4 linked regions of the Stegostoma tigrinum genome follow. The protein of the gene in region 3 interacts with the protein of the main gene of each other region in a pairwise test. Links are inferred from orthologs where the notes say so. Each region holds a gene or a part of one and is shown on either strand. Other genes may lie near its edges.

Region 1 (7,486 bases), on a different chromosome or scaffold from region 3:
AAATAATTTATTATTTTTCTGGTGATTAAACGTCTGAGGCTACATCTGGCAGCTGTGGTCAGACACGATATTGGTACTTTGGAGCAATTCCTTTGGAGTAATTTGGGCTTATACTTCTTCTTAAATGTTCTTGTTCCCTGTGGTCATAAAAACATTTACAGCTTTACAGTTAAAATATTGTTTAGTGTTGTCGATCATTTATGTAAGCACTAATGTTACATCCTTTATGTCAGAGAGCACCAGACTGTTCAGTACTTAGTTAAATTATCACTGACCTGAAGATCATAACAATAATATCTCTTGAATAAATAATTGATTGCAAATTGTTCTAACATTTTGAGGAAGACATGTTGGGGAAGAGATTATCTAGCAATCCAAGACCAATTGCAAATGAACAAATCATTCTCGCTCATACTTTCCATGTAAAATAGACTGGTTTCCAGTGAGAAATAATATCATTTAGCTTCCTGAATCTGTACCAACATATAGTTTGATCATTGGTTAGTCCAAGATTGGCAGCCTTTTTAAAATCAAAAATTAGTGAGATTGTCAACTCAGTGTGTTAAGCATCCTCTGGTGTGACTTCATTCCCTATTTTGGCAGGGCACTCTGCTGCATTTGCTGCAGAGGTAAATGAGGGTGAGAGAGTACATAACTTGCTTGTCTGTTTTCTCTGGGCCCCGTTTACGGCCACCTGTGCCTTTAGTTTTAGTTTGCCTCTTCTAATGCCCTTCCAGCCAATCCATCTGAGTGGGCATTACAATCAACAACTGTTGCATTTGCACAACTTGGTGAGAGTGCGTCTTGGATGAGTGGCTCACATTCGGTATTGCACTCGAGTGACTCAAATTTACTGTTCCAATTATGCTTTTTGGAGAGAATGGCCTGCCTTCTGTGTCGCATTTTGTGGGAGGCACCCACAGTTGGTGCCGCAGTGTAGAGAGAGTGGCCAGTTCTGGGGAGAATAAACCATGGTTCACAGAGCTTTTTTGGGCAATGGCCTGAGAGTTGCATTGCTTTCTGGGGTGAGGGGTTCACAGTCAGCATTATGTTCATGGGCAAAAACAGAAGTTGCTGGAATAGCTCAGCAGGTCTCAGCAGAACTGAGGAAGGGCTACTGGACCTGAAATATTAACTCTGATTTTTTTTTTCTGCACAAATGCTGCCAGAGCTGTTGAGTTTTTCCAGCAACTTCTGTTTTTGTTCCTGATTCACAGCACCTGCAGTCCTTTTTACATTCATGGGGCAAGAGGCTTGCTGTTGGCATTGCTTTCTGGAGGGTGGAGCTACTGGTTGGCCAAGCTTTCGTGTGCAAGGGACCTGAGAGTCATATTGCTTTCTGGGGTGAAGGGTTTGTAGTTGGTGTCAAATTTGAACACTCTGCAAAGAGTGGCCCTCAGTTGAGCACTCTTGGGACGCTGACACGGTCAGACAGTCTGGGGTTGGTGGCCTGTGTTGACCAGTATGGGAACTGTGGCTTGTAGCCAGCCTTGCATTCATGGGCATATCAGTTGAGTGGTCTGGGAAAGTGGCTCACGGCTGAGCAGTACGGGAACAGTGGCCTGTGTTTGAGCCGTTTTGGGATAGTTGTCCACGGTTAAGCATTCTGGGGAGACTGGACAGATGTTGGTGCTGGATACCCTGGGGGAGGGCAGCCCTGTCAGCGTTACATTCTGGTTGAGGGGCCTGCTATTGGTGTTGTATTTGTGGGGTAAGCGGGTAGTGGTTTGCATCACGTTCTGCGGAGAGTGGTCCATGGTTGAGCAGTCTAGGGAAAGTGGCCTGTGGTTGCCGTTGCTTTTTGTAGGGTGGGACCTATAGTTGGCTGAGCATTCTAACCAAGGAGCCCCAGGGTCGGCATCGCGTTCTGATTAGAATGGACAACTGTTGATGCCACATTCTATATATCACATTGACTGGTGAGGAAACCTGCAGTTAGCGTTGCGTTCATGGGCCACGTTGGTGGCAGAGCAGTATGGGAACAGTGCCCAAAGTTGATGGCACATGCGGTCAGTCTGGGAAGTGCGACATGCAGTTGAGCTTTCTGGGGTGAGGGGCCTAATGTTGTTTCCTAACATTCTAGGTGACTTGCTTGCAGTAGCTTTGCCTTCAGTTATTCTGGAAAGAGTAGTCCGTAGTCATTATGCTGGTGAGGTCTTTTCTGGAATTTTCTGTCCAGTTCTGATCACCCTGTTATAGGAAGGATATTATTTATTAGGTTGGAGAAGTTTCAGAAGAGATTGGTCAGGATGTTTCCAGGAATAAAGGATTTGAGTTATAAGGAGGGGTTGGACAGACTGGGACTTCATTCACTGGAATGCAGGAGGTTGAGAGATGATTTTATAGAGGCTTATAAAATAATGAGACATACAGATAAGGTGAATGGTAGGTATCTTTTCTCTAGGTGGGGGATTTCACGACTGGGGGCTTATTTTTAAGCTGAGAGATAGAAGATTTGAAAAATGCACGAGGGGCAGTTTATTTGCACAGAGTGGTTGGTGAGTGGAATGAACTTGCAGGGAATGTGTTAGATGCAGAAAAGTTACAATGTCTAAAAGACATTTAGTTAACTACATGAATAAGAACTGTTCAGAGGGCTATGGGCCAAGTGCAGGCAGGTGGGACTAATTTCGTTGGAACTGTAGTCGGCATGAACTGGTTTCTGTGTTCTCTGACTCTGCCTCTAGTTGAAAAGTCTGAAGAGATTACATGCTGTCGAGCAGTCTCGGATGGGTGGGCAGAATTTGAGCCATCTTCGCTGTTTTGCAATATATTGAAAGGGACGTATAGTCAGTGTCGCATTCGAGCAGGCTGAAGTGAGGGGCCTGTGGTAGATGTCTCATTGTGGGATGAAGGGCCCATGTTTGGCATTGCATTCTGGTCAGATTGGCCCACTGTGAGCGTCAGTCCAATTAGGGGGCCTGCAGTTGATATTGCCTACTGGGTCCAGCAGCCCGTGTCGGTGTTGCAGTCTGGGGGAAGGGGCAAGTGGTCAGCTGTTGAACAGTGTGGTCTGATTGGCCAGAGTTTGAGCAGTTGGGGAATATGTCACGGTGGAGGAGGATCGGACCTGGGATCCAAGCTGGAATGAACTCTGATGAATGGCCTGTGTTTATGCAGTCTTGGAAAAATGGGCCATGATCACCATTGTAGTCTTTGAAAGTTGCATGTGTTCAAACAGTATGGGACAAGTGGTCTATGGTCATCTAATCTGGGAAGTGTGGCCCACAGTCAGTGTTGGAGTCTGGAAATTTGGTCTGCATTCGGCATCGCAATTGAGCTATCTGCTTTGAGCGAATTGAAATTGGAGTTGTAGACATGTATTTTGGAGAGAACAGTTGGCAAGCCTAGGGCAATTGGACTGACATTGGCATTGCTTTTGTGCCCTGTGTGGAGAGAGCCAGGCAGTCAAGATGTTTGCAGTGTGTGGACTACGGTTGAGCCATCTGACGCATGCCCGCAATCGATCAACGTGTAAACAGGACCCTTACAATGATGTCATTCTGGGATAGTACCCTGCGGTTGAGCATTTTTGGAAGAGTAGTTAGCAATCAGTGTGGCATTTTGTGGAGAGGGTCCTGTGGTTGGTATCATGGTCTGGCCAGAAAAACGTGTGCTATGCCTCGGGTGATTGATTGCCAGAGGGCAGTGCAGCCTGGTGCAAAGGGTGTGCGGGCGTGGTCATATTCTAGGGAGAAGGGTATACAATTAGCTTTGCATTCAACAAGTGGTCTGCAGTCAAGCAGTGTGGGGAGAGTAAACGCAGTCAAGCAGAGGGAGGTGGTTTGCCAGATTTCAAGTTGTTTTTAGTTGTTAAGCTGTCTAGTGAGAAGGTCCTGCATTTGTGTTGCAGGCTGGGGTGAGGGCGCATGCTATCAGAGTCACATTCTGGGGTGAGGCCCCCGCAGCAGATGTTACATTCTGAGGCGAGGGGTCCAAGTGCGCTGTCGACTTCCGGGATGAGGGGCCTGTGTGCAATGTCACGTTCTGGGCCGAGGAGCCTGCGGTCAAAGTCACATTCTGGGGCGGTGGGCTCATGATTGGAATCACATTCTGGGGCGAGGCACCTGTGTGTGATGTCACATTCTGGGGCATGGGGTGCACGGCCAAATTCCTCTACTGGGGCAAGTGACCCATGGGTGAAGCCGCATTCTTGGGAACAGGGGTCTATCACTGCCTTGCTCTCCTGCTCTCCCCTCTGTGTCTCTCTGTCTGTCTGTCTCTTGCTGTCTCTGCTCGCTCTTGCTCCCCACTCTCATGCTGTCTATATTTGCCTCTCTACATGGTCCTTAATCAATCAGCCTCAGCATTGTAGTATCCCTATCATTTTAAATACTGTACCAAAAACCCTTGCCTTCTAACAAAATCCTGGAGTTGTGACAGAACTTCTAAAATTAAAGAAAACAACAGCTAGTCGATGCTCTGGGGAAATACATAGTCACAGGGACAGCTGCCTGGAACCATCATTCAGTTAGAAAATCCAATTCGCACAACAACTCTAAAAGAACAGTGAACCGGATCTAAGGCAACAACTAACTGAGAAATCATGGAACCTTACAGCTACCAAGACATCCAGCATCAACGAATATGCATGATGTGAAGCAGCCATTGTTGGGCTGGGGTGGACAAGGTCAGAAATCACACGACACCAAGTTACAGTCCAACAGGTTAATTTCAAAACACGAGCTTTCGGACCCTCAGTCCTCCTTCACATGTTAGTGTAAGAGGTAGTATCAGACACAATTTGTAAGTAAAAGATCAAAGGATCACAACATTGAGGATATCCTAAAGAAACATAGGATGCTGTTAAATCTTTAATCTTGGTCCGGAGAGAACTCAAGGTTTTATCAGTGTAAACAAGGGTGACATTTTACATCAGATAGTTCATGTTAGATGTGAGACCTTGATTAGAATGTGTTTATGTTTTAGATTAGAATCAAAGTAGTTTTATTTCTAAAGTATGAATTTATAAAACCATACATTGACTGAATGCCTACAAATTGTGTGCTTTTTGAACAAAATGGAATGTATCAGCAAATACAAATTCACTCAATAGATTTAGTGTATGTCTACCTGTGTGTGTGTGTGAGGGTGTTCAGAGAGAGAGAGAGAGAGTGTGTGTGTGTGTGTGTGTGTGTGTGTTGGGGGGGAAGTCTGTGTGTGTTTGTTGGTGGCGAAGTGTGTGTGTGTGCGTGTGTGTGTGTGTGAGTTGAGGGGGAAGTGTGTGTGTGTGGGGGGGAATGTATGTGTGTGTGTGGGGGGGCGGAATATGTGTGTAAGTGGGGGGGGAATGTGTGTGTGTGGGGGGGGGAATGTGTGTGTGTGTGTGGGGGGGGGAATGTGTGTGTGTGTGTGTGGGGGGGGAATGTGTGTGTGTGTGTGTGGGGGGGGAATGTGTGTGTGTGTGTGTGGGGGGGGAATATATGTGTGTGTGTGGGGGGGGGAATATATGTGTGTGTGTGGGGGGGGGAATATATGTGTGTGTGTGGGGGGGATTATGTGTGTGTGTGGGGGGGGATTATGTGTGTGTGTGTGGGGGGGGATTATGTGTGTGTGTGGGGGGGGGATTATGTGTGTGTGTGGAGGGGGATTGTGTGTGTGTGGGGGGGGGATTATGTGTGTGTGTGTGGGGGGGGGATTATGTGTGTGTGTGTGGGGGGGGGAATATATGTGTGTGGGGGGGTATGTGTGCGTGTGTGTGGGGGGGAATGTGTGCGTGTGTGTGGGGGGGAATATGTGTGTGTGTGGGGGGGGAAGACGTGAGTGTGTGTTGGGGGGAATATGTGTGTGTGGGGGGGAATGTGTGTGTGGGGGGGGAATGTGTGTGTGTGGGGGGAATGTGTGTGTGTGGGGGGAATGTGTGTGTGTGTGTGGGGGGAATGTGTGTGTGTGTGTGGGGGGAATGTGTGTGTGTGGGGGGAATGTGTGTGTGGGGGGGGAATCTGTGTGTGTGTGTGGGGGGGAATCTGAGTGTGTGTGTGGGAGGAGGAGAATGTGTGTGTGTGGGGGGGGGAGTGTGTGTGTGTGTGTGTGTGTGTGTGTGTGTGTGTGGGGGGGGGGGAGAGTGTGTGTGTGTGTGTGTGTGGGGGGAGGTGTGTGTGTTGGGGGGGGAATGTGTTTGTGTGTGTGGGGGGTGCGAAATTGTGTGTGTGTGGGGGGAGGGAATGTGTGTGTGTGGGGGGAGGGAATATTTGTGTGTATGTGGGGGGGGAGTGTGTGTGTGTGTGGGGGGGGAGGGAATGTGTGTGTGTAGGGGGGGAATGTGTGTGTGTGGGGGTGGGGGAGAATGTGTGTGTGTAAGGGGGGAATGTGTGTGTGTAGGGGGGGAATGTGTTTGTGTGTGTGCAGGGGGGGGAATGTGTTTGTGTGTGTAGGGGGGGAATGTGTGTGTGTGGGGGGGAATGTGTGTGTGTGGGTGGGGGGGAGTGTGTGTGTGTGTGTGTGTGTGGCGGGGGGAGAATGTGTGTGCGTGGGGGGGGAATGTGTGTGCGTGGGGGGGAATATCTGTGTGTGAGTGGGGGGGGAATGTGTGTGTGTGTGGGAGGGGATTGTGTGTGTGTGTGGTGGGGGGAAATGTGTGTGGTGGGGGGGAAATGTGTGTGGTGGGGGGGAAATGTGTGTGTGGTGGGGGGGAAATGTGTGTGTGGTGGGGGGGAAATGTGTGTGTGGGGGGGAAATGTGTGTGTGGGGGGGGAATGAGTGTGTGTTGGGGGGGAATGAGTGTGTGTGGGGGGGGAATGTGTGTGTGTGGGGGGGGAATGTGTGTGTGTGGGGGGGGAATGTGTGTGTGTGGGGGGGGAATGTGTGTGTGTGGGGGGGAATGAGTGTGTGTGGGGGGGAGGAATGTGTGTGCGTGTGTGAGTGTGGGGGGAATGTGTGTGTGTGGGGGGGGGAATGTGTGTGTGCGTGGGGGGGGAATATGTGTGCGTGGGGGGGGAATGTGTGTGTGTGGGGGGGGGGGAATGTGTATGTGTGTGGGGGGGAATGTGTGTGTGTGTGGGGGGGGAATGTGTGTGTGTGCGGGGGGGGAGAATGGGTGTGTGTGTGTAGGTGGGGGAGGGGAATGTGTGTGTGTGTGTGTGTGTGTGTGTGTGGGGGGGGGAATGTGTGTGTGTGTGTGTGTGTGTGGGGAGTGTGTGTGTGTGGAGGGAATGTGTGTGTGTGGGGGGAATGTGTGTGTGGGGGGGGAGGGGAAATGTGTGTGTGTGTGTGTGTGTGGGGGGGGGGGGAGTATGTGTGGGGGGGGAGTGTGTGTGTGTGGGGGGGAGTGTGAGTGTGTGGGGGGGAATGTGTGCGTGTGTGTGGGGGGGAATGTGTGCGTGTGTGTGGGGGGGAATGTGTGTGTGTGGGGGGGAATGTGTGCGTGTGTGTGGGGGGGAATGTGTGTGTGTGGGGGGGAATGTGTGTGTGTGTGTGTGGGGGAATGTGTGTGTGTGTGTGTGGGGGAATGTGTGTGTGGGGGAATGTGTGTGTGTGTGGGGGGAAT
Region 2 (7,768 bases), on a different chromosome or scaffold from region 3:
GAAGACTTGCACTCATATCTGATTGACACTTGTGAAAATTGAGTTTTTTCATGTAGGCAACCTGGTCAGATATCTATATTAATGATCTTGTTCCATCCACCACTGCAGAGACTCCTTTTGCTGAATATTCTTCACATTTATTATCCAAATAAATACTCTGGCACTATAAATAATAAATGTTCTATAACTTTGTGGTATTTTTTAAATTATGACCTCAATAACAGGTTAAGCACAAATGTGATTCCTATGTGCTTCAATGTAGTTCCACCTTGTGATGTCTAGTGAAAGGATGACAATATCATTCCAAGTCTGGATGGGTGTGACTTACAGAGGAACTTGAAGGTATCTGCTGACCTTTATGTTATAGGTGAATAAAGGTTGAAAATTTGGGAGAATCTGTCACTGCAAATGCTGGTGGGAACCCCATGGTGCACTGAGAGTGGAATCAATGAGGAGGTTGCAGCCATTTTGGTGACAATTGCAGTCTTAAAATCAGTTAGGTGGGGGAATGGACTACGCTCATTACAGCACCATCAAGGGACATCTAATAATTAGAAATGACTATGTTACTATCAGTCAACTTGTGTGTTAATTAAGAACCTTCAGCCCGTTTGTCCATCTATGTGTTCATGGCTAATTATCACTTTAGCTATACTGCCTGTTACCTGTACTTCACTGAGACCAAAAATCAATTGATTTCTTCAAAATATTCAACAATGGAACTTTGTTTGAATGGCGATGCGGGTTCAAGTGTCCTGTTCATATATTTATATGGTCTAAATGGTCACATCTTTATTTTGATAATGTGCCCATGTTCTAGATTCCCTGCCTGTGTCGCTACCCAGTTAATTTGCTTTGGAATCTTGCATTTCAATGAATCTTTTCAATTCATGAAAGTATAGGCCCAATTTTCTCAGCCTCTTGTCTTTCATCCTAAAAATCCTTCCAGCCTTCACTGCATCACAGAATCCTAGAATCCCTACAATGTGGAAGCAGGCCATTCAGCCCATTGAATCCACACAACCCTCCAAAGAATGTCCCACCCTCCCACCCCTATGTCTAACACTGCATGTCCCACCCTCCCACCCCTATATCTAACACTGCATGTCCCACCCTCCCACCCCTATGTCTAACACTGCATGTCCCACCCTCCCACCCCTATGTCTAACACTGCATTTCCCACCCTCCCACCCCTATGTCTAACACTGCATTTCCCATGGCTAATCCACCTTGCCGCTCATTTGCTGGACACGATGGGCAATTTAGCATGGCCTGTTCACCCATCCAGCATGTTTTTGGACTATGGGAGGAAACTAGAAGGCCTGGAGGAAATCCACCCAGGCACTGGGAGAATGTGCAAACTCTACACAGACAGTCCTTGAGGTGGTATTTTCACTTCCAATGAAAATACATACTCTTCAAATATGGAGACCCTAACTGCACACTGTATCTCATTAAACCCCTGTAGAATTGTACTGCTGTGCTGCGAGTGTTCTGTTTGAAGGCGTGTCCTCTGGTTCTCTATTGACACTTCATTGCGAGCCAGTTTTCTTTTTGACTGAAGAAGAAAAAAGTGGTTGTTTTCCACTGCATTCTGTTTTTTGGGGAGACAGTTCTTAAGTCTACTTCAGCCAAATGAGAACCAAACCTGTGTTGTTGGCATTTTTCCGAACTACGCACTAGCCATCTAGCAAACCGATCCCTTCAATTGTACTAAGATTCCCTTATTCTTCAATTACCTTGAAATAAGGGTCAATATGCCATTTGGAAGCATAATTACTTGCTTCACCTTTTGAGTTATCTCTGTTTTCTTGTATGAGTGCAAGCATGACCCTTCTAAAACTTTCTCAGGTTTAACACCTTCAGAAGAAAAATCCTGCTTTTCCATTCTGACTACCAAAGTTAAAAAGATCTTAATGGTCCACATAATATTCCTGACTGCCACTTTGGTCCACTTTTATATAACTTAAATGTTTCGGTGGCTTGAGTCCTCAATTGCCAACAGACCTTAACTTTGGCTCTGATTAATTATTTGAACACTTCTTTACGTTTGTCAATAAAGGGTATCTTTAGGGCAGTGTAAATGGAGCTTTACTCTGTCCTAACCCTATGATGCACCTGTCCTGGGAATTTTTGACAGGGACAGTGTATAGTGAATATTTAGTCTGTAGCTTTTTTGCCCTGGAACTGAACATGGTAGTGTGATTTTTCACCTTGAAACAAGTGTCCTGTTGCATAATTTCATGAAACAATTGTGATCGCCTCTACAGCATTGCTGAGAGACTTATTTTGTTCCTGAATTTGTAGTATGTTGAGACTTGAATCATAATGAGTCCTCTAGCTTACACTTTTACATTGATCTAACAATGAAACCCAACCAAAACCATAGGAGAGCACCTGTGATCCATCACAGATCCTGTGTCCTGGATATTCCAGGATGTTACTTGTACTGTAACTGTTGGGAAACTAGTGTCTATATTTCTGATTGTAACTATAACATATGAAGGCTTTGCTACAGCTTTATATATTAGATGTTTCAATACCTAGAACTTCATTTGTTAAATAATGAAGAGAACTTATTTATGTGGCTCAGATGTTCTACATAAGGTGATTATGAAGCTTTGTGTAGAAATAATTATGTAAATAAAATGGTATTGCAGATGATACTTGCTGTTTTCATTTCCAAAGTTAGATCTTGTTCATGATAATACAGTCGACTATAAATCTGTAACTGCCCCATTAACTGAGGGGCAAAGTGAAAAAAATCATTAATTTTGGGATATTAAACCAGGTTAATGTAATCAGTAAGGTTGCAGCTAAGTCCAAGTGAAGTACTGAACTTGGGTTTGGATATGAGGCTCTGTGATTGATACATTGTCTGTTTCATATATCTGCCACAGGAAAGCTCCTGTTCTCAGTTGCGGAAGTACAAAGTGAAAAAATGGTATTTTCCTAAGGAAGGGAAAATTACCTCAGTTTTCATTGAGCTAATTAAACCTCCCCAAAGTTGTGTTATGAAGCAACTGGGAAGCAACTGATTGGTTTTGGCAAGCAGCTGAGGGTTGGTCACTTGTATTTTCTTGGTAACATGATATGAAATTGGAGAGAATTAAAGACTCATTTTTGACAATGTAAAATATCATATTACTTGTGTATATCCTCTGACAGGAGAGCTCTGCACTTACTGGATACTGAAGATTTAGCTGTATTACTTACATTTCATTTATATTAGAGAAGGGATACCAAGACTAAGGACAATGCTTAATTGGAGTAAAAATGTCAGGTTGAGTGGGGTAATTTTGGTAATTGAGAGAAAAGAGATGATCAAGACTAGGGAGAAATCAAGGCAGAAAAACAATGGAAGTAGGAAGACCTACAAACTAGAAGAGATTCTGATTGTTCAATGGGTTAGTTGTATTTAGAAGAACACAGATTTATGGGTTCACCATTGCAAGACATTGTAAGTAGTACTGAATATGTTTAAAACCTTTTAAGGAAAAAAAAATCTAATACGGGTTAAAACAGATTGAAGCTACATGTTGCAGGTTGGGAACAGCAACTCATATTCCGCTTGGGAACCCTGCAGCCCAATGGTATCAATGTGGACTTCACCAGCTTCAAAATCTCCCCTTCCCCACCGCATCCCAAAACCAGCCCAGTTCGTCCCCTCCCCCCGCTGCACCACACAACCAGCCCAGCTCTTCCCCTCCACCCACTGCATCCCAAAACCAGTCCAGCCTGTCTCTACCTGCCTACCCTGTTCTTCCTCCCACCCCAAGCCGCACCTCCATCTCCTATCTACTAACCTCATCCCACCTCCTCGACCTGTCCGTCTTCCCTGGACTGACCTATCCCCTCCCCACCTATACTCTCGTCTCCAGCTCTTCTTTTCTCTCCATCTTCGGTCCGCCTCCCCCTCTTTATTCCAGAACCCTCACCCCATTCCCCTCTCTGATGAAGGGCCTAGGCCCGAAACGTCAGCTTTTGTGCTCCTGAGATGCTGCTGGGCCTGCTGTGTTCATCCAGCCTCACATTTTATTATCTTGGAAGCTACATGTAGTTTCGGGCACTACTCAAAACAGACCCTGAGGTAATACCCAGTCTAGTATGAGAAAAAGAGCAGCTTGAACAGTTAGGGCTAATACAAGAGATCGGATTGAACAAACAAAGAAATGGACCCTGGAAATCTGAAACAAAAACAGAAATTACTGAAAAAACTCAGCAGGTCTGGCAGCACCCGTGGATAGAGAAACAGGCTTCACAACCACCCTTCATCAGTTGCAGTTGCAGATCCTGGCAATGAGAAAAATATGCTAAGACATCGCGTCTTCATCAGAAGAGACGTCTAGATGGTGAACGTTAGTTTGCTCTCTCTCTGTGGATGCTGCCTGACTTGCTGTGATTTCCTTCATTTTTGTTTTCAGTACAGAGTCTGGCATCTGCAGTAATTTGCTCCTATGCAGAAACAGGACGTAGCAGGTTAGCCAGCTTCCGTGGAAAGAAACAGAATTAACATTTCATTCCTGCTCCTCTGATACGGCTTGGCCTGCTGTTTTTATCCAGCTCTACACCTTGTTATCTAACATTTCAGATTGATGACCGTTTAGCTCTTGCATTTAATGTGAGCACATCACTGTTTTCTATCTGTAGGAGCTGTCTCACCTAATTATTTAGGTAGCCTATGACCATTGAGCCCGACAAACAACTACAATTCCCATGACGAGTCGCGCGGTGGATTGAGATACGCGTGCGCGGCTGCTGGAAAAGCACGCAGTTTGAATTCAAACTGACCAATGGGAGTAGAGACCACAAACGGTAGCGCACCGGTTGGAAGATGTCGGAATCTCGGTGAGAAAAAAAACCTGCATGCATGGATAGTGATGGGAAGAGAGAGAGAGGTGGGGAGAGTGAAAAAATTTAGACAGGAATGAAGAGGTGGGGAGCGGGAGACACACGGGGACAGAGAGATGGAGAGAGAGACAAGGACACGGACAGAGACAGACACACACACAGGGACACAGAGAGAGAGACATACACACACGGGGACAGAGGGAGAGAGAGAGCGAGGGACAGAGGGAGAGAGAGACACACACACACAGGGACAGAGAGAGCGAGAGGCGCGCACACACAGGGACAGAGAGAGAGCGAGAGACACACACACACGGGGACAGAGAGAGAGAGCGACACACACGGACAGAGAGAGACGGCGAGACACACACAGGGACAGAGAGAAAGTGAGACAGCGAGACACACACAGGGACAGAGAGAAAGTGAGACAGCGAGACACACACAGGGACAGAGAGTGAGACAGCGAGACACACACACACACACACAGGGACAGAGAGAGTGAGACACACACACAGGGACAGAGAGCGAGAGACACACACACACACAGGGACAGAGAGAGAGAGCGACACACAGGGACAGAGAGAGAGAGCGACACACACACACACAGGGACAGAGAGAGAGAGTGACACACACACACACAGGGACAGAGAGAGCGAGAGGCACGCACACACACGGACAGAGAGAGCGAGCGAGAGACACACACACACACACAGGGACAGAGAGAGAGCGAGACGCGCGCACACACACAGGGACAGAGAGAGAGAGCAAGACACACACACACAGGGACAGAGAGAGAGCGAGAGGCGCACACGGACAGAGAGAGAGCGAGACGCGCACACACAGGGACAGAGAGAGAGCGAGAGGCGCACACACAGGGACAGAGAGAGAGAGCGAGACACACACAGGGACAGAGAGAGAGCGAGAGGCGCACACGGACAGAGAGAGAGCGAGAGGCGCGCACACAGGGACAGAGAGAGAGCGAGAGGCGCGCACACAGGGTCAGAGAGAGAGCGAGAGGCGCGCACACAGGGTCAGAGAGAGAGCGAGAGGCGCGCACACAGGGTCAGAGAGAGAGCGAGAGGCGCGCACACAGGGTCAGAGAGAGAGCGAGAGGCGCGCACACGGGGTCAGAGAGAGAGCGAGAGGCGCGCACACGGGGTCAGAGAGAGAGCGAGAGGCGCGCACACAGGGACAGAGAGAGCGAGAGGCGCGCACACAGGGACAGAGAGAGAGCGAGAGGCGCGCACACAGGGACAGAGAGAGAGCGAGAGGCGCGCACACAGGGACAGAGAATGCGAGAGACACGCACACAGGGACAGAGAGAGAGCGAGAGACGCACACACACATAGGGACAGAGAGAGAGAGGTACAAAGAGAGAGAAAAACACACAGGGACAGAGAGAGAGCAAGTGATGCACACACACATAGTGACAGAGAGAGAGAGGTACAAAGAGAGAAAAACACACACAGGGACGGAGAGAGAGCAAGAGTCACACTCACGTAGGGACAGACAGAGAGAGAGAGAAAAACACACACAGACAAAGAGAGAGAGACACATAGGGACAAAGAGAGAGAAAAACATGCACACACATCGGGAGAGGGAGGGTGGTATGTACGCACATGCAGGGAGAGAGGGACACGTGCATGCTCAAACACAGAGGGGGCAGGGGCACGCGCATACGCAGGGAGAGGGGTCGGTGGCACGAGCACACGCACGGAGGGGGGGGTCCATAAGACATAGGAGTGGAAGTAAGGCCATTCAGCCCATCGAGTCCACTCCGCCATTTCATCATGACTGATGGGCATTTTAACTCCACGTCCCTGCGCTCTCCCTGTAGCCCTTGATTCCTTGTGAGATCAGGAATTTATCAATCTCTGCCTTGCAGATATTTAACGTCCCAGCCTCCACTGCACTCCGTGGCAATGAATTCCACAGGCTCGCCACTCTCTGGCTGAAGAAATGTCTCCTCATTTCTGTTTTTAATTTACCCCATCTAATTCTAAGGCTGTGCCCACGCGTCCTAGTCTCTACGCCAAATGGAAATAACTTCCCAGCGTCCAACCTTTCTAAGCCATACATTATCTTGTAAGTTTCTATTAGATCTCCCCTCAACCTTCTAAACTCTAATGAATACAATCCCAGGATCCTCAGCTGTTCATCGTATGTTAAACCTACCATTCCAGGGATCATCCGTGTGAATCTCTGCTGGACACGCTTCAGGGCCAGTATGTCCTTCCTGAGGTGTGGGGCCCAAAATTGGACACAGTATTCTAAATGGGGCCTAACTCGAGCTTTATAAAGTCTCAGAAGCACATCACTGCTTTTATATTCCAACCCTCTTGAGATAAACGATAACATTACATTTGCTTTCTTAATCCCAGACTCTACCTGCAAGTTAACCTTTAGAGAATCCTGGACCAACACTTGCAGACCCCTTTGTACTTCTGCTTTATGAATTTTCTCACCATTTAGAAAATAGTCCATGCCTGTATTCTTTTTTTTCCAAAGTGCAAAACCTTGCATTTGCTCACATTGAATTTCATCAGCCATTTCCTGGACCACTCTCCTCAACTGTCTAAATCTTTCTGCAGCCTCCCAACCTCTTCAGTACTACCTGCCTGCCCACCTATCTTCGTATCATTGGTAAACTTCGCCAGAATGCCCCCAGTTCCTTTATCCAGATCATTAATATGTAAAGTGAACAGCTGCAGCCCCAACACTGAACCCGGCGGGACACCACTTGTTGCCATTCCGGAAAAGAGCCTTTTATCCCAAATCTCTGCCAATCCTCAATCCAAGCCAGTAGCTCACCTCAAACATCAGGCGCACACACCCACACGTGGACAGAGAGAAGAAGGGCGCGCGCGCGCACCCACACGTGGATGGGGAGAGAGAGAGAGAAGGGCATGTGCACACACCC
Region 3 (7,090 bases):
GATTATTTCAAATTATGAGCTCTTAATAATCCTACTGAACTTGACTGAGGACTTTGTAAATCTTGGAGTGGAACTGCAGTATTTCAGTGGCTTAATAAGATTGTTGGCAAGTATTCAAACAATTTAATTTGAAATGACAGCAGAAGGTGATTATAATAGCACACAATCAATTTATACATCTGAATTGAGTGCACCCTGGTATGACATCCATGAACTGCTTGTTTCCCACCTTCCTTTTCATCCCCTTCGCAGTGATGTGCCCATCATTGTGAAGAAGGCCATGTTACTCAACAGCAGGCATCTGCTATTTGTGTGGATTGAACATTGACTACCTATAATTTATACAAAACTGGTGGCTTGCCTTTTTATTCCTTTTCTTTTCCACCTTGTGTTTTTGTTGCTTGTTCATTTGAAAGATTATTTCACAGATTACCTGTTAAGTTTCCACAAACCCCAGACTGAAAATCATTGTCCTGAATTAGAAAGTCCAACAAACAGCTGTGTGATAATTACATATTTTGGTTTTATTGATGTTGGTTATGGGATAAATATAGCCAGGATAGTGGGAAAATGTCCCTGCTTTTCATACAAATAAGGAACAATTGTAGACCACTCAACCCTTTGAGCCTGCTATTCTAACCAAAGTTTACACTCTATCCATGTAGCAGTGGAGTGTCAGTCTAGATTTATGTTCATATAACTAGATTTAAATTAAATTGTCTGACTCAGAGGCAAAGTACTACCACTGAATCATGACTTACACCTAAAATCCTGTGTTGTTAATTTCTTAAAAATCATTGTTTTTGGTTCATGTCCGGATGCCAGTAACTAGGCTAACAAGTGGCAAGGAACGTTCATGCCACACAAGTACCATACAATGACCATCCACAGCAAGAGAGAACCTAACCATCGTCCCTTGACATTCAAAGTCCTTCTTATTCAGAGGCTAGGAATCCTGCAGTGAGTAACTCACCTGACTCACATGGCAGAAGTCAGAAATGCAACGGAAAATACTTCCCACTTGTCTGGATAGGTGCAGCTGCAACAATATTGAAGAAGTTTGACGTAATTTGGGGCAAAGCAGCTACTTTACTGGTACCACACCTAAAACATTCACTCCCACTAGTAGCTACAAGGTACACTGCATAAATTCATAAGGCTCTTTAGATAGCACCTTCCAAGCACCCACCTAGCAGATAACATCACCAACTGCAAGTGCCCCTAATTTGGAAATATATTGCTATTCCAATGTCACAGAGTCAAAATTCTGCAACTCCCTTCCTAATGGCATTGTGGATCTACCCAAACAAAATGTACTGGAACCATTCAAAGTGCCTCACTTCCACATTCTCAAGGGCATCTAAGGATAGGCAATAGATGCTGGCCCAACCATCAATGCCCACATCCACTGCAACATAATCTCATGTGCTACTGGCATCCAAAGGGACTGGAAAATGATGCCATGTACAAACAACAAAATTACATACGTGCAAATCCAACCACTGTCCTTCAAATCTGCCCTTGTAATTGTGATCCCAGTCTAATGTGCATTATTCTGGTGACAGCCAAACATCCTAGAAGCCCCAGATCACTGCATCTATAAGATGCTGAAAACCATGATTGGAGATCTTCCAATCTATCTCTCAATGCCACTTGAGAACTATGAACATGTCCCCATCTATAATAAAGGGAGCAGAGATTGAAAGCATCAAGTTCCTAGGAATGACAATAACCAACAACCCGTCCTGAACTTTCCACATAGATGGTCAAGAAGGCGCAACAAAGATTCTTGCTCAGACAGCTTAGGAAATTTAGCATGTCCACAAGGTCCCTCACCAACTTTCACAGATGCGCCACACAAAGCATAATAACAGGTACATTACGGCCTGGTATGGCAAATGCTCTGCCAGGACCACAAGAAACTACAGAAGGTTGTGTGCACAGCCAGACCATCATGGATGCCAACCTTCTATTAATGGACTCCATTTACACTTCTTGCTGCTGTGGAAAGGCTGCCAAGATCAACAAAATGTCTCCCACCCCGGTAATGCTCTCATACAACCTCTTCTGAGCAGAAGATACAGAAGCTTGTGCCCCCCTCCTGAGATGCTGCTTGGCTTGCTGTGTTCATCCAGCTCCACACTTTGTTGCCTTCAAGGCAACAGGGAAGCTACTCCTGAAACTGATCAGCAGATGCAAGGTATTCCGCACGGAAACAGACCCTTCGGTCCAACTTGTCCATGTCGACGATAAGAATTACATTTCTATACTCTCATGCTTCCCCAACTTCTAATCTGTGCTGCCGTAACTGCTGAGAAATTCCAGCAGTTTTTGTGGGTTTTGTTTTTCAGATTTCCAGCATCTGCAATTTATTTGGGATAATGGGAACTGCAGATGTTGTAGAATCCAAGATAATAAAATGTGAGGCTGGATGAACACAGCAGGCCCAGCAGCATCTCAGGGGCACAAAAGCTGACGTTTCGGGCCGAGACCCGATGAAGGGTCTAGGCCCGAAACGTCAGCTTTTGTGCCCCTGAGATGCTGCTGGGCCTGCTGTGTTCATCCAGCCTCACATTTTATTATCTTGGAATCTCCACACACGTACGAACAGGTTCAAGAACGGTTTCTTCCCTGCTATTATTAGACTGATGAATGGACTTTCTAACTTCAAAAAGGTGATCCTCCTGCGCAGTGTAACCTGTATGCCTCATTCTATTTAAGCACCCTAAGTTCTGTATATCCCTGCTTACTATAATCTGCTAGTGCTGCTCACAAACAAAGCTTTTCACTGTACTCAGGTACACGTGACTACAATAAATCAAATAAAATTTCAGACAGAAGACACTAACTGCTTTGTTTCCAATTGTATAGGCACAGGCAGGCAAGCCGATTCCTGAAGCTTAAAAAAATGAAAGAACTGCGGATGCTGTAAATCAGAAACACAAAGTTGCTGGAAAAGTTGAAGGGTCTAGGCCTGAAACGTCAGCTTTTGTCCTCCTGAGATGCTGCTTGGCTTGCTGTGTTCATCCAGCTCCACACTTTGTTGCCTTCAAGGCAGAGATCGACAAATTCTTGATCTCAGAAGGAATCAAGGGCTACGGGGAGAGTGCAGGGAAGTGGTGTTGAAATGCCCATGAGCCATGATTTAAATGGCAGAGTGGATTTGATAGGCCGAATGGCCTTACTTCCACTCCTATGTCTTATGGTCTTATGGTTATGCTGGAAAAGTTCAGCAGGTCTGGCAGCAGCCGTGAAGGAAAAAAAGAGCTAATGTTTCAGGTCTGATGACCCTTCCCCAGAACTGTCCTGAAGCTACTCCTGAAACTGATCAGCAGATGCAAGGTATTCCGCACGGAAACAGACCCTTCGGTCCAACTTGTCCATGTCGACGATAAGAATTACATTTCTATACTCTCATGCTTCCCCAACTTCTAATCTGTGCTGCCGTAACTGCTGAGAAATTCCAGCAGTTTTTGTGGGTTTCGTTTTTCAGATTTCCAGCATCTGCAATTTATTTGGGATAATGGGAACTGCAGATGTTGTAGAATCCAAGATAATAAAATGTGAAGCTGGATGAACACAGCAGGCCCAGCAGCATCTCAGGGGCACAAAAGCTGACGTTTCGGGCCGAGACCCGATGAAGGGGCTAGGCCCGAAACGTCAGCTTTTGTGCCCCTGAAATGCTGCTGGGCCTGCTGTGTTCATCCAGCCTCACATTTTATTATCTTGGAATCTCCAGCATCTGCAGTTCCCATTATCTCCGACAACATTCCTGTCTGGTCCTGCACAATAGGAGGGACAATAGTACATTTCCGCCAGCAACAGGCCGGCGTCAACTGTGATACAGGAAACTCCGGATCGGCATTGATTTCCTAAAATTCCGGACATTTTAGTCGGTTTCTGAAGAGAAGTGACTGCACTCGGTGTAGATCTAAAACCCAGGCCGGCTGTGTCCAAGCCGGGCCTCAGCCTCAGGGACACCCCCGCGTCTCTCGCTGTGTTACGTTGCTAGGGCGACTGTGCGTTTCTATACGCATGCGTATGAGCAGGCCGATGATTGGTTCTCGCTTTGACCCCGCCCCCAGTGGGTGTAGTCACGCCGCACAGGATGATGGTTCATCGTCCATCATGGAGGCGATATTTCACGAGAAAGTGAGTTGATGCGGAAATTACTGTTTAAAATGGTCGAGGTGGGAGCTCCTCGGGCCCTGAGAGGAACGGCCGCAGTGGCGTTCGACGTCGTGTTGCAAAGGGGGAAAAAAAACACGCACACACACACACGTTCACACACCCCTCCCTAAGGTTGGGGATGGAGTCGGGTAGGACAAGGGGAGCTGTGAGCTTCCCAAACGGTGTAGACGGGGGAGGAAGTATTCTTCTCCCCGAGTGGGGGGGTACTTTCAACCCTTTTCCCCTGCCGATTGAGGGGCCTTCACTCCCTGACCCCCCCTTCCTCCGACTGAGGAGTCTTCGCCCCCTGCCCTACCCACTCCGACTGAGGGGCCTTCATCTTCTGCCCCACCTACTCCGACTGAGGGGCTTTCACCCTCTGTCCCACCCACTCCGACTGAGAGGCCTTAACCCTTCTCCACCCTAACTGAGCTGCCTCCCCCTCTCCTCCCCCACCCCTAGTTTATTGAAGTTTTAAATATGTTGTTTGTAACAGTCTTTGATGTCCTGTTTCTGATCCAAAATATTTCTGATCATTCCCATAAAGCATTTAAGAGAGAGTTTTTCGTAATACACCTTTAATTACCTTTGTGTGAGGCTCAAAAATGACAGCAGCACTTGAGTATTGAGCAACACTTGTTACTGCATGATACAAGAGCACAATTTGTCAACCAGCTGACTCACAATAGTTGGTAAAGTTATGTTTTTACAGTTTTACTTCAATATAGGTGATCATTGTTCGGTGACTAATGTGTGGAAGTTCATCTGTTTCTGATAGGGAATTGGCTAGGGAGAATTGATGCCCAATATAGTGAAATGTTGGTTGTGATTACAATGTGACAAACTTGCATACATTTCCCATATAGATATGGGTGTTGGAATTGTCAAAATATGAAAATAAAGATGATGTAAAATGTTCAAATGGGGACTAAATTTCAACTGATTCCTGATCTGATTATCTCTCACCATATAACTTTATATCTTTTAAGGCAGCACAGGCCTTGATTCTACATAAAATGTCATAAGATATTACTAACTCATAATAATTGTGGTAAATTTCATTGATTATGCAGCTATTTATTTGTATTCTTTTAGTTCATACATACTGTAAATAACTCATTAAAACTTTACAATTTATGCCTAGTTATGCAAGACCTATATAATTCTGACTCTTGTACCTAACAATATAGCAGATAAGCTGGCTACATATGTGTGTGTATTGTAAAATGCCATGTATATTTATTTACTAATACTTGTACTTATTTGGCGAACCCTATTTTCTCTTATTCTGTATAAGAGCATCAGAACGAGAAGTAGATCGTTTGCCACCCCCCTCCCCAAAAGCCACTAAACTCATTCTTGATCACAAATCTGTCCAACTTAGTCTGAAATATGTTCAATGACCTAGTCTCAACTGTACTACGTGACACAGAACTGCAAAAATTAATGACACTCCTAGAGAAGAAATTCCTCACCTCTGTTTTAACTGGGAAGCCCATTGTTTCTCTTCTGCCCTTCCTCCCCAAGAGGAAACACTCTCTCCTACTTTTTCAGACCCCCCAGAATTGAATGTACAAACTTTTCCTTTCAAAGCTAACTGAGGTGACAAAAGGATCAAAACCAAAACATATACAAGATAATTGGAAAAAGAACTAGATGATTGTTGAAGAGAATGTTAGGCAGCAGTTTGTTCAAAGTTGGAATGCACTTAATAAAGGGGGGTCGAAGCAAACTTAATGTTTAAAAGCAAATTTGTGTACTTCACAGAATCTTGTATTCTTCCGCTTCTGCCACACACTCATCTTCTCCGTAAGCTATATGTTCCTCCTTTTCAGACAATAACCCATTTCCTTCTTGAATATATCAAGTGAACTTGCCTCCACTGTACTCTTAGCAGTGCATTTCAGATCCCAACCTACAGGAAAAAGCTTCTCATGTTTTTTGCCTGTTACCTTAAATCTGTGCCTTCTCATTTTGAAAGACTCAATAGATGAGAAATTTTTCGTTAATTACTCTGTCTAGACTGTCCTTTTCTCCTATATTGTTTCATGGGATCAGCATCTGTTGCTCATCCCTAATTGCCCTTGTACTCTATGGTTTGTTAGGTCATTCCAGGCAGCAATTAAAAGTTCACAACATTGCTTTGATCCAGAGCAACATATACGCAGACTGGGTAAGTAGGATAGATTTCCTGTCATAAAACATGTGAGTGAACCAGATGGATTTTTAATGATTTTTCATGCTAGCTTTATTTTGTGTAATGAACCCAGCTGATATTATTACTGGATAACTTGAATGCCAGACAGGAACCTGACTTGATAGATCATAATTTTATTTGTTTTGGTTTTAGAAACATGGTCTCTGACATAGACTTGAGCACATAATGCTCCAGATTTTGTTTCACTGACCAAACTAGTTTATTAAAAAGAAACAATGATAGAATAATCCAAACTACTTATGGTACAAATTGCAAGGTTTTAAACACATTAGAATCCCATTAATCCCAAAAACACCTTTATAAATTAAAATGAAGCCAAGCTGCTTTTAATATCTTGCTCAGAACACTCCTGGCACTGTTCTCAAACCATCACTCCTGGTACAGTATACAAGCATCATTCATGTAATATTCACGCCAGTTAAACTCGAACTCTGATACCTTACTCCTGGGGCTGTCATACACTTGAACTTTACTGCAAATAGCTTAAACAACCACTCCATCTTTGGCTTGACATGCTAAAGTACTCAGCAGCCTCCTTAGATTCAATACGTACTTATGTCTTTGTTAAATACATCTTAGCAGCAGTAGGCCATTTAACTCTTTAAGATGGCTCCTTTGTTCAATAGATTCTGGTTGAAATCCACATTGCCATTTGCCCTGAAAATCTATCTGTTCCCTTACCTAACAAGAGTCTATCAATCT
Region 4 (7,242 bases), on a different chromosome or scaffold from region 3:
TCGAATCTTCACCTTCCCCCCCCCCCCCCCCCCCCCAGACCTCCCACTGACTGAGGATGAATGGTCAGTCCTTAGCAAGGGGCTCACCTTTGTTCCCCCTCCATCCACACATAACGAATACCAGTCAGGTTTGGACGCCGAGCAGTTTTTCCGCCGCCTTCGCCTCCATGCTTACTTCTCTGACTGTGAGCCTAACCCTCCCTCTGCTGACCCCTTCACCTGCCTCCAACACAAGTCCTCCTCCTGGACACCACCCTCCCTCAACCTCTTCATCTCCAACTGCCATTGAGACATCAATCGCGTCAACCTCTCCACCCCTCTCACCCACTCCAACCTCTCCCCTGCAGAAAGTGCAGCCCTCCGCTCCAATCCCAACCTCACCATGAAACCCGCAGACAAGGAGGCGCAGTGGTAGTATGGCGCACTGACCTCTACATCGCCGAGGCCAGACGCCAACTCTCCGACACCGCCTCCTACCGCCCCCTGGATCATGACCCCCCCCCCCCCCACCCCGAGCAACAAACCATCATCTCCCAAACCATCCACAACCTCATCGCCTCAGGTGACCTCCCACCCACAGCCTCCAACCTCATTGTTCCCCAACCCTGCAACGCCCACTTCTATCTCCTTCCCAAAACCTACAAACCTGCTGGCCCTGGTCGACCCATTGTCTCCGCCTGCTCCTGCCCCACCAAACACGAATCCACCTATCTGGACTCCATTTTCTCCCCCTTGTTCCAGGAACTCCCTACCTATGTCCATGACACCACCCACTCCCTCCACCTCCTCCAGAACTTCCAATTCCCCGTTCCCCAACACCTCATTTTCACCATGGACGTCCAGTCCCTATACACCTGCATTCCCCGTGCAGATGGCCTAAAGGCACTCCGCTTCTTCCTGTCTTGCAGGCCCGACCAGACCCCCTCTACTGACACCCTCATCCGCCTAGCCAAACTCGTCCTCACCCCCAACAACTTCTCTTTCGATTCCTCCCACTTCCTACAGACAAAGGGGGTGGCCGTGGGTACCTGCATGGGCCCAAGCTATGCCTGCCCCTTTGTAGGTTATGTGGAACAGTCCCTCTTCCGTACCTACACTGGCCCTAAACCCCATCTCTTCCTCTGTTACATTGATGACTATATCGGCGCCGCCTCGTGCTCCCAAGAGGAGCTCAAACAGTTCATCCACTTCACCAACACATTCCACCTCAACCTCAAGTTCACTTGTACCATCTCCAACACATCCCTCCCCTTCCTGTCTCCATCTCAGGCAACCACCATTTCAAGATATCCATTTCAAGCCCACCGACTCCCACAGCTACCTGGAATACACCACCTCCCACCCACCTTCCTGAAGAAATTCCATCCCCTGTTCCCAATTCCTTCGCCTTCACTGCATCTGCTCCCAGGATGAGGCATTCCACTCCCATACATTCCAGATGTCTTCTTTCTTCAGGGGCTGCAACTGCACCGCACCCCACTCCTCCCCCCCCCCCCCCCCCCCGGCAGTGCTCGAGAACACCCTCGACCATGTCTCCTGCATTTCCCGTAACTCATCCCTCACACCCCGTCCCTGCAATACCCGCCAAAAGAGAATCCCCCTCATCCTCACATACCACCCCACCAACCTCCGGACATAATGCATCATCCTCCCAACACTTCTGCCGTCTACAATCCGACACCACCACCAAAGACATTTTTCCATCCCCACCCTTATGTGCTTTCTGGAAAGACCACTCTCTCTGGGACTCCCTTGTCCGCTCCACACTCCTCTCCAACCCCAGCACGCCTGGCACTTTCCCCTCCAACCGCAAGAAGTGCTACACTTGCCCCCATTCCTCCTCCCACACGCCCATCCCAGGCCCCAAGATGACTTTCCACATTAAGCAGATGTTCACCCGCACATCTGCCAATGTGGTATACTGCATCCGCTGTACCATTGTGGCTTCCTCTACATTGGGGAAACCAAGCGGAGGCTTGGGGACTGCATTGCAGAGCACCTCTGCTTGGTTCGCAATAAACAACTGCACCTCCCAGTCACGAACCATTTCAACTCCCCCTCGCCTTCCTTAGACAACATGTCTGTCCTGGGCCTCCTGCAGTGCCATAACGATGCCACCCGAAGGTTGCAGGAATAGCAACTCAAATTCTGCTAGGGAACCCAAAACACTGCATCCCAAAACCAGCCCAGCTCGTCCCCACCTCCCTAACCTGTTCTTCCTCTCAGCTATCCCCTCCTCCTACCTCAAGCCACACCTCCATCTCCTATCTACCTACCTACCTACTAACCCAATGGGACGCCCCATTGACCTGTCCCCTCCCTACCTCCCCACCTACACTCGCCTTTAGTGGCTCCATTCCCGCCCCTTTTAACTTGTCTGTCTCCTCTCCACCCCTCTTCTCCTCTGTTCACCTTCGATCTGCCTCCCCCTTTCTCCCTATTTATTTCAGAATCCTCTCCCAATCCCCCTCTTTGATGAAGGGTCGAGCCTCGAAACGTCAGCTTTTGTGCTCCTAAGATGCTGCTTGGCCTGCTGTGTTCATCCAGCTCCACACTTTGTTACCCTAGTCAGGAAAGCCCTGGCTGAACAATATGATCAGGAGTTGAGAATCTCCTCAGTTCAGGGGACTGACTCTCGGCTAGCTGGCTACAGCCTGTGTAGCGTGTGCATGGAGATAAAGGATGATTTTGGTGGTGGGGCGCCAGCCTCCGTGCAGTTATTTCACATGGAGAATTGGTTGGGAGCCCTCAATATTGACATGGGCCTCCATGAGGTCTCGTGGCATCAGGTCAAACAGAGGCAATGAAACTTCGTGCTGATCACCACATACCAGTCCAAATCCTGGTCTTTGTTTATGAATCAATGCTCCTCGTTGAACACCACTTGGGGTGGCAAAGGACAGCAGGTACGCTGGATGGGAAATTTCAATGTCCATCAGCAGTAGTTTGGCAGCACCAGTAACAAGTTCAACCATGACTGTGTTAAAGCAGCAGAGCAAGTCTGAGGGGCCATATGATCTATTTCAGTGTCCTGTCAATGTCATTTACATGCTTCTTGATGCATTTCCACTTCCTTTCAAATGCTCCACTTTTTTTTCGTTATTTCAAATTTCCTTCTTTTGAAATGATCACAGATCATCCATCATCACCCCACTCTTTTATTCCTGCTGCCAACCTGCTTGAAACCTGTATTACAGTATCTTTTACTTAAACCAATTCTACTGAAATGTTAAGATAATAAAATGTGAGGCTGGATGAACACAGCAGGCCAAGCAGCATCTCAGGAGCACAAAAGCTGACGTTTCGGGCCTAGACCCTTCATCAAAGAGGGGGATTGGGAGAGGATTCTGAAATCTGATGAAGGGTCTAGGCCCGAAACGTCAGCTTTTGTGCTCCTGAGATGCTGCTTGGCCTGCTGTGTTCATCCAGCCTCACATTTTATTATCCAGAGAATCTCCAGCATCTGCAGTTCCCATTATCTCTGATACTACTGAAATGTTAAATGTGTTTCTCTCTACAGAGGTATTGTCTAAACACCTGAGGTCTTTCCAATTTTTTTTTCAAATTTCAGATTTTCTTCTGGATTATTTTCCAGTTGTTTTTATGCACCTTTCCTGCTGTATGGCACAATGCTACGTATCTGGGTGTGTACTCAGCTTCGTCAGTTCGTCTGGAGGGTCTGAGCCCGAAACGTCAGCTTTTGTGCTCCTGAGATGCTGCTTGGCCTGCGGTGTTCATCCAGCTCCACACTTTGTTATCCTGGTCTGTTCGCTTCCTGGTCAGTAACAACAGGGAAGGGAGGGTGGAAGCATGACCTCATCGGTCTCCAATCGGTTCTGGCCGTGGATGACTGACGTGCAGGAGAAGCCAATGAAGGGTTAGGAAGGCGGGGATAATGGGACCTGCCAATGCTGGAGAATCCGAGATAACAAGGTGTGGAGCTGGATGGACACAGAAGGCCGAGCAGCATCTCAGGAGCAGAAAGGCTGACGTTTCGGGCCCAGAGCCTTCCGAAACATAAGCTTTCCTGCTCCTAAGATGCTGCGTGGCCTGTTGTGTTCATCCAGCAGTTATATTGGAGAGGAAGGCGGGTCAGCTTTCGGAACGCGGGGGAGCGAATCAGTGACGGAATCACTATGATCGACAGGGACCTTAGCCAATGATTGGTCATATGGGTGGTGACATCTGACTGATGTCCAATGCACCCATTCAGAATGAGCGATGTTGTGATTGACGGAGGAATGTCCAATCTAATTGGGCCAGAATGGGTGACGCACCCAGGAAAGGCGTCATTACAAGGGCAGGCCGTGCGATGAATGGCTTAGATTCGGATGATTGGCGGTAGATCTGGCGAGTGGGATGTGCCCGGTTATCCGGCGGGCCTAGGGTGTGAGCGGAAGCGCAGGCCTCAGGCGCTGGGAGTGAATCAGTCCCCGAGCGGCGCAATGGGGAACCGGGGGATGGAGGATCTGATCCCGCTGGTTAACAAGCTGCAGGACGCTTTCAGCTCCATCGGTCAGAGCTGTAATCTCGACCTGCCGCAGATCGCCGTCGTGGGAGGGCAAAGCGCCGGCAAAAGCTCGGTGTTGGAGAACTTCGTCGGCAGGTGGGGGCGGGGGGGAGAGACTGAATGTGTAAATCGGGAGAAAGGGAGAGAGAGGGGGAATGTGTAAACTGGGGGAAAGTGTAAACCGGGGGAAAGGGGGGGGAGAGAGAGAGAGGGGGAACGTGTAAACCGGGGGAAAGGGGGGGAGAGAGAGAGAGAGGGGGAACGTGTAAACCGGGGGAAAGGGGGGGAGAGAGAGAGAGAGAGAGAGAGGGGGGGGAACGTGTAAACCGGGGGAAAGGGGGGGAGAGAGAGAGAGAGAGAGGGGGGGGGGACGTGTAAACCGGGGGAAAGGGGGAGAGAGAGAGAGAGAGAGGGGGGGGAACGTGTAAACCGGGGGAAAGGGGGGGAGAGAGAGAGAGAGGGGGAACGTGTAAACCGGGGGAAAGGGGGAGAGAGAGAGAGAGAGAGAGGGGGGGGAACGTGTAAACCGGGGGAAAGGGGGGGGGAGAGAGAGAGGGGGGGGAACGTGTAAACCGGGGAAAGGGGGGGAGAGAGAGAGAGAGAGGGGGGGAACGTGTAAACCGGGGGAAAGGGGGGGAGAGAGAGAGAGAGGGGGAACGTGTAAACCGGGGGAAAGGGGGAGAGAGAGAGAGAGGGGGGGAACGTGTAAACCGGGGGAAAGGGGGAGAGAGAGAGAGAGGGGGGGAACGTGTAAACCGGGGGAAAGGGGGAGAGAGAGAGAGAGAGGGGGGGGAACGTGTAAACCGGGGGAAAGGGGGGGGGGGAGAGAGAGAGAGAGAGAGAGAGAGGGGGGGGGAACGTGTAAACCGGGGGAAAGGGGGAGAGAGAGAGAGAGGGGGGGAACGTGTAAACCGGGGGAAAGGGGGAGAGAGAGAGAGAGAGAGGGGGGGAACGTGTAAACCGGGGGAAAGGGGGGGGGAGAGAGAGAGGGGGGGGGAACGTGTAAACCGGGGAAAAGGGGGGGGAGAGAGAGAGAGAGAGAGGGGGGGGGAACGTGTAAACCGGGGGAAAGGGGGGGAGAGAGAGAGAGAGGGGGAACGTGTAAACCGGGGGAAAGGGGGAGAGAGAGAGAGAGGGGGGGAACGTGTAAACCGGGGGAAAGGGGGGAGAGAGAGAGAGAGGGGGGGGAACGTGTAAACCGGGGAAAGGGGGGGGGAGAGAGAGAGAGAGGGGGGGGGAACGTGTAAACCGGGGGAAAGGGGGGGGGGGAGAGAGAGAGAGAGAGAGAGGGGGGGGGAACGTGTAAACCGGGGGAAAGGGGGGGGGGGAGAGAGAGAGAGAGAGAGAGGGGGGGGGAACGTGTAAACCGGGGAAAAGGGGGGGAGAGAGAGAGAGAGAGAGGGGGGGGAACGTGTAAACCGGGGGAAAGGGGGGGGAGAGAGAGAGAGAGAGGGGGGGGGAACGTGTAAACCGGGGGAAAGGGGGGGGAGAGAGAGAGAGAGAGAGAGGGGGGAACGTGTAAACCGGGGAAAGGGGGGAGAGAGAGAGAGAGGGGGGGGAACGTGTAAACCGGGGGAAAGGGGGGAGAGGGAGAGAGAGGGGGGGAACGTGTAAACCGGGGGAAAGGGGGGGGGGGAGAGAGAGAGAGAGAGAGAGAGGGGGGGGGAACGTGTAAACCGGGGAAAAGGGGGGGAGAGAGAGAGAGAGAGAGGGGGGGGAACGTGTAAACCGGGGGAAAGGGGGGGAGAGAGAGAGAGAGAGGGGGGGGAACGTGTAAACCGGGGGAAAGGGGGGGAGAGAGAGAGAGAGAGAGAGGGAGGGGGGGAACGTGTAAACCGGGGAAAGGGGGGGAGAGAGAGAGAGGGGGGGGGGAACGTGTAAACCGGGGGAAAGGGGGGGAGAGAGGGGGGGGGGGGAACGTGTAAACCGGGGGAAAGGGGGGGGAGAGAGAGAGAGGGGGGGGAACGTGTAAACCGGGGGAAAGGGGGGGAGAGAGAGAGAGGGGGGGGGAACGTGTAAACCGGGGGAAAGGGGGGGAGAGAGAGAGAGGGGGGGGACGTGTAAACCGGGGGAAAGGGGGGGAGAGAGAGAGAGGGGGGGAACGTGTAAACCGGGGGAAAGGGGGAGAGAGAGAGAGAGAGGGGGGGAACGTGTAAACCGGGGGAAAGGGGGGGAGAGAGAGAGAGAGAGGGGGGGGGGAACGTGTAAACCGGGGAAAGGGGGGGAGAGAGAGAGAGGGGGGGGAACGTGTAAACCGGGGGAAAGGGGGGGAGAGAGAGAGAGGGGGGGGAACGTGTAAACCGGGGAAAGGGGGGGGAGAGAGAGAGAGGGGGGAACGTGTAAACTGGGGAAAGGGGGGGGGGAGAGAGAGAGAGAGGGAACGTGTAAACTGGGGAAAGGGGGGGGGAGAGAGAGAGAGAGGGAACGTGTAAACTGGGGGAAAGGGGGGGAGAGGGAGAGAGAGAGAGAGAGGGAACGTGTAAACTGGGGGAAAGGGGGGGAGAGGGAGAGAGAGAGAGGGGAACGTGTAAACTGGGGGAAAGGGGGGGAGAGGGAGAGAGAGAGAGGGAACGTGTAAACTGGGGGAAAGGGGGGGAGAGGGAGAGAGAGAGAGGGAACGTGTAAACTGGGGGAAAGGGGGGGGAGAGGGGGAGAGAGAGAGGGAACGTGTAAACTGGGGGAAAGGGGGGGAGAGGGGAGAGAGAGAGAGAGGGAACGTGTAAACTGGGGGA

The links.
Region 1: the proteins of atxn3 (region 3) and tex11 interact in binary tests that used the Homo sapiens proteins (3 or more experiments, as listed by UniProt). The link is inferred for Stegostoma tigrinum from reciprocal best matches to the Homo sapiens genes ATXN3 and TEX11.
Region 2: the proteins of atxn3 (region 3) and arhgap19 interact in binary tests that used the Homo sapiens proteins (3 or more experiments, as listed by UniProt). The link is inferred for Stegostoma tigrinum from reciprocal best matches to the Homo sapiens genes ATXN3 and ARHGAP19.
Region 4: the proteins of atxn3 (region 3) and dnm2a interact in binary tests that used the Homo sapiens proteins (3 or more experiments, as listed by UniProt). The link is inferred for Stegostoma tigrinum from reciprocal best matches to the Homo sapiens genes ATXN3 and DNM2.

The regions. Positions count from the first base shown.
Region 1 is NC_081368.1:40,548,655-40,556,140, reverse strand, and holds the start of tex11 (testis-expressed protein 11), read left to right. Parts: upstream 1-4,486; 5' UTR 4,487-4,587; coding exon 4,588-4,630; intron 4,631-7,486. UniProt on the Homo sapiens protein: Regulator of crossing-over during meiosis. Involved in initiation and/or maintenance of chromosome synapsis and formation of crossovers.
Region 2 is NC_081373.1:16,270,933-16,278,700, forward strand, and holds the start of arhgap19 (rho GTPase-activating protein 19), read left to right. Parts: upstream 1-4,759; 5' UTR 4,760-4,834; coding exon 4,835-4,848; intron 4,849-7,768. UniProt on the Homo sapiens protein: GTPase activator for the Rho-type GTPases by converting them to an inactive GDP-bound state.
Region 3 is NC_081363.1:27,980,069-27,987,158, forward strand, and holds the start of atxn3 (ataxin-3), read left to right. Parts: upstream 1-4,084; 5' UTR 4,085-4,128; coding exon 4,129-4,152; intron 4,153-6,275; exon of another isoform or gene 6,276-6,343; intron 6,344-7,090. UniProt on the Homo sapiens protein: Deubiquitinating enzyme involved in protein homeostasis maintenance, transcription, cytoskeleton regulation, myogenesis and degradation of misfolded chaperone substrates.
Region 4 is NC_081388.1:24,865,279-24,872,520, forward strand, and holds the start of dnm2a (dynamin-3), read left to right. Parts: upstream 1-4,221; 5' UTR 4,222-4,331; coding exon 4,332-4,606; intron 4,607-7,242. UniProt on the Homo sapiens protein: Catalyzes the hydrolysis of GTP and utilizes this energy to mediate vesicle scission at plasma membrane during endocytosis and filament remodeling at many actin structures during organization of the actin cytoskeleton.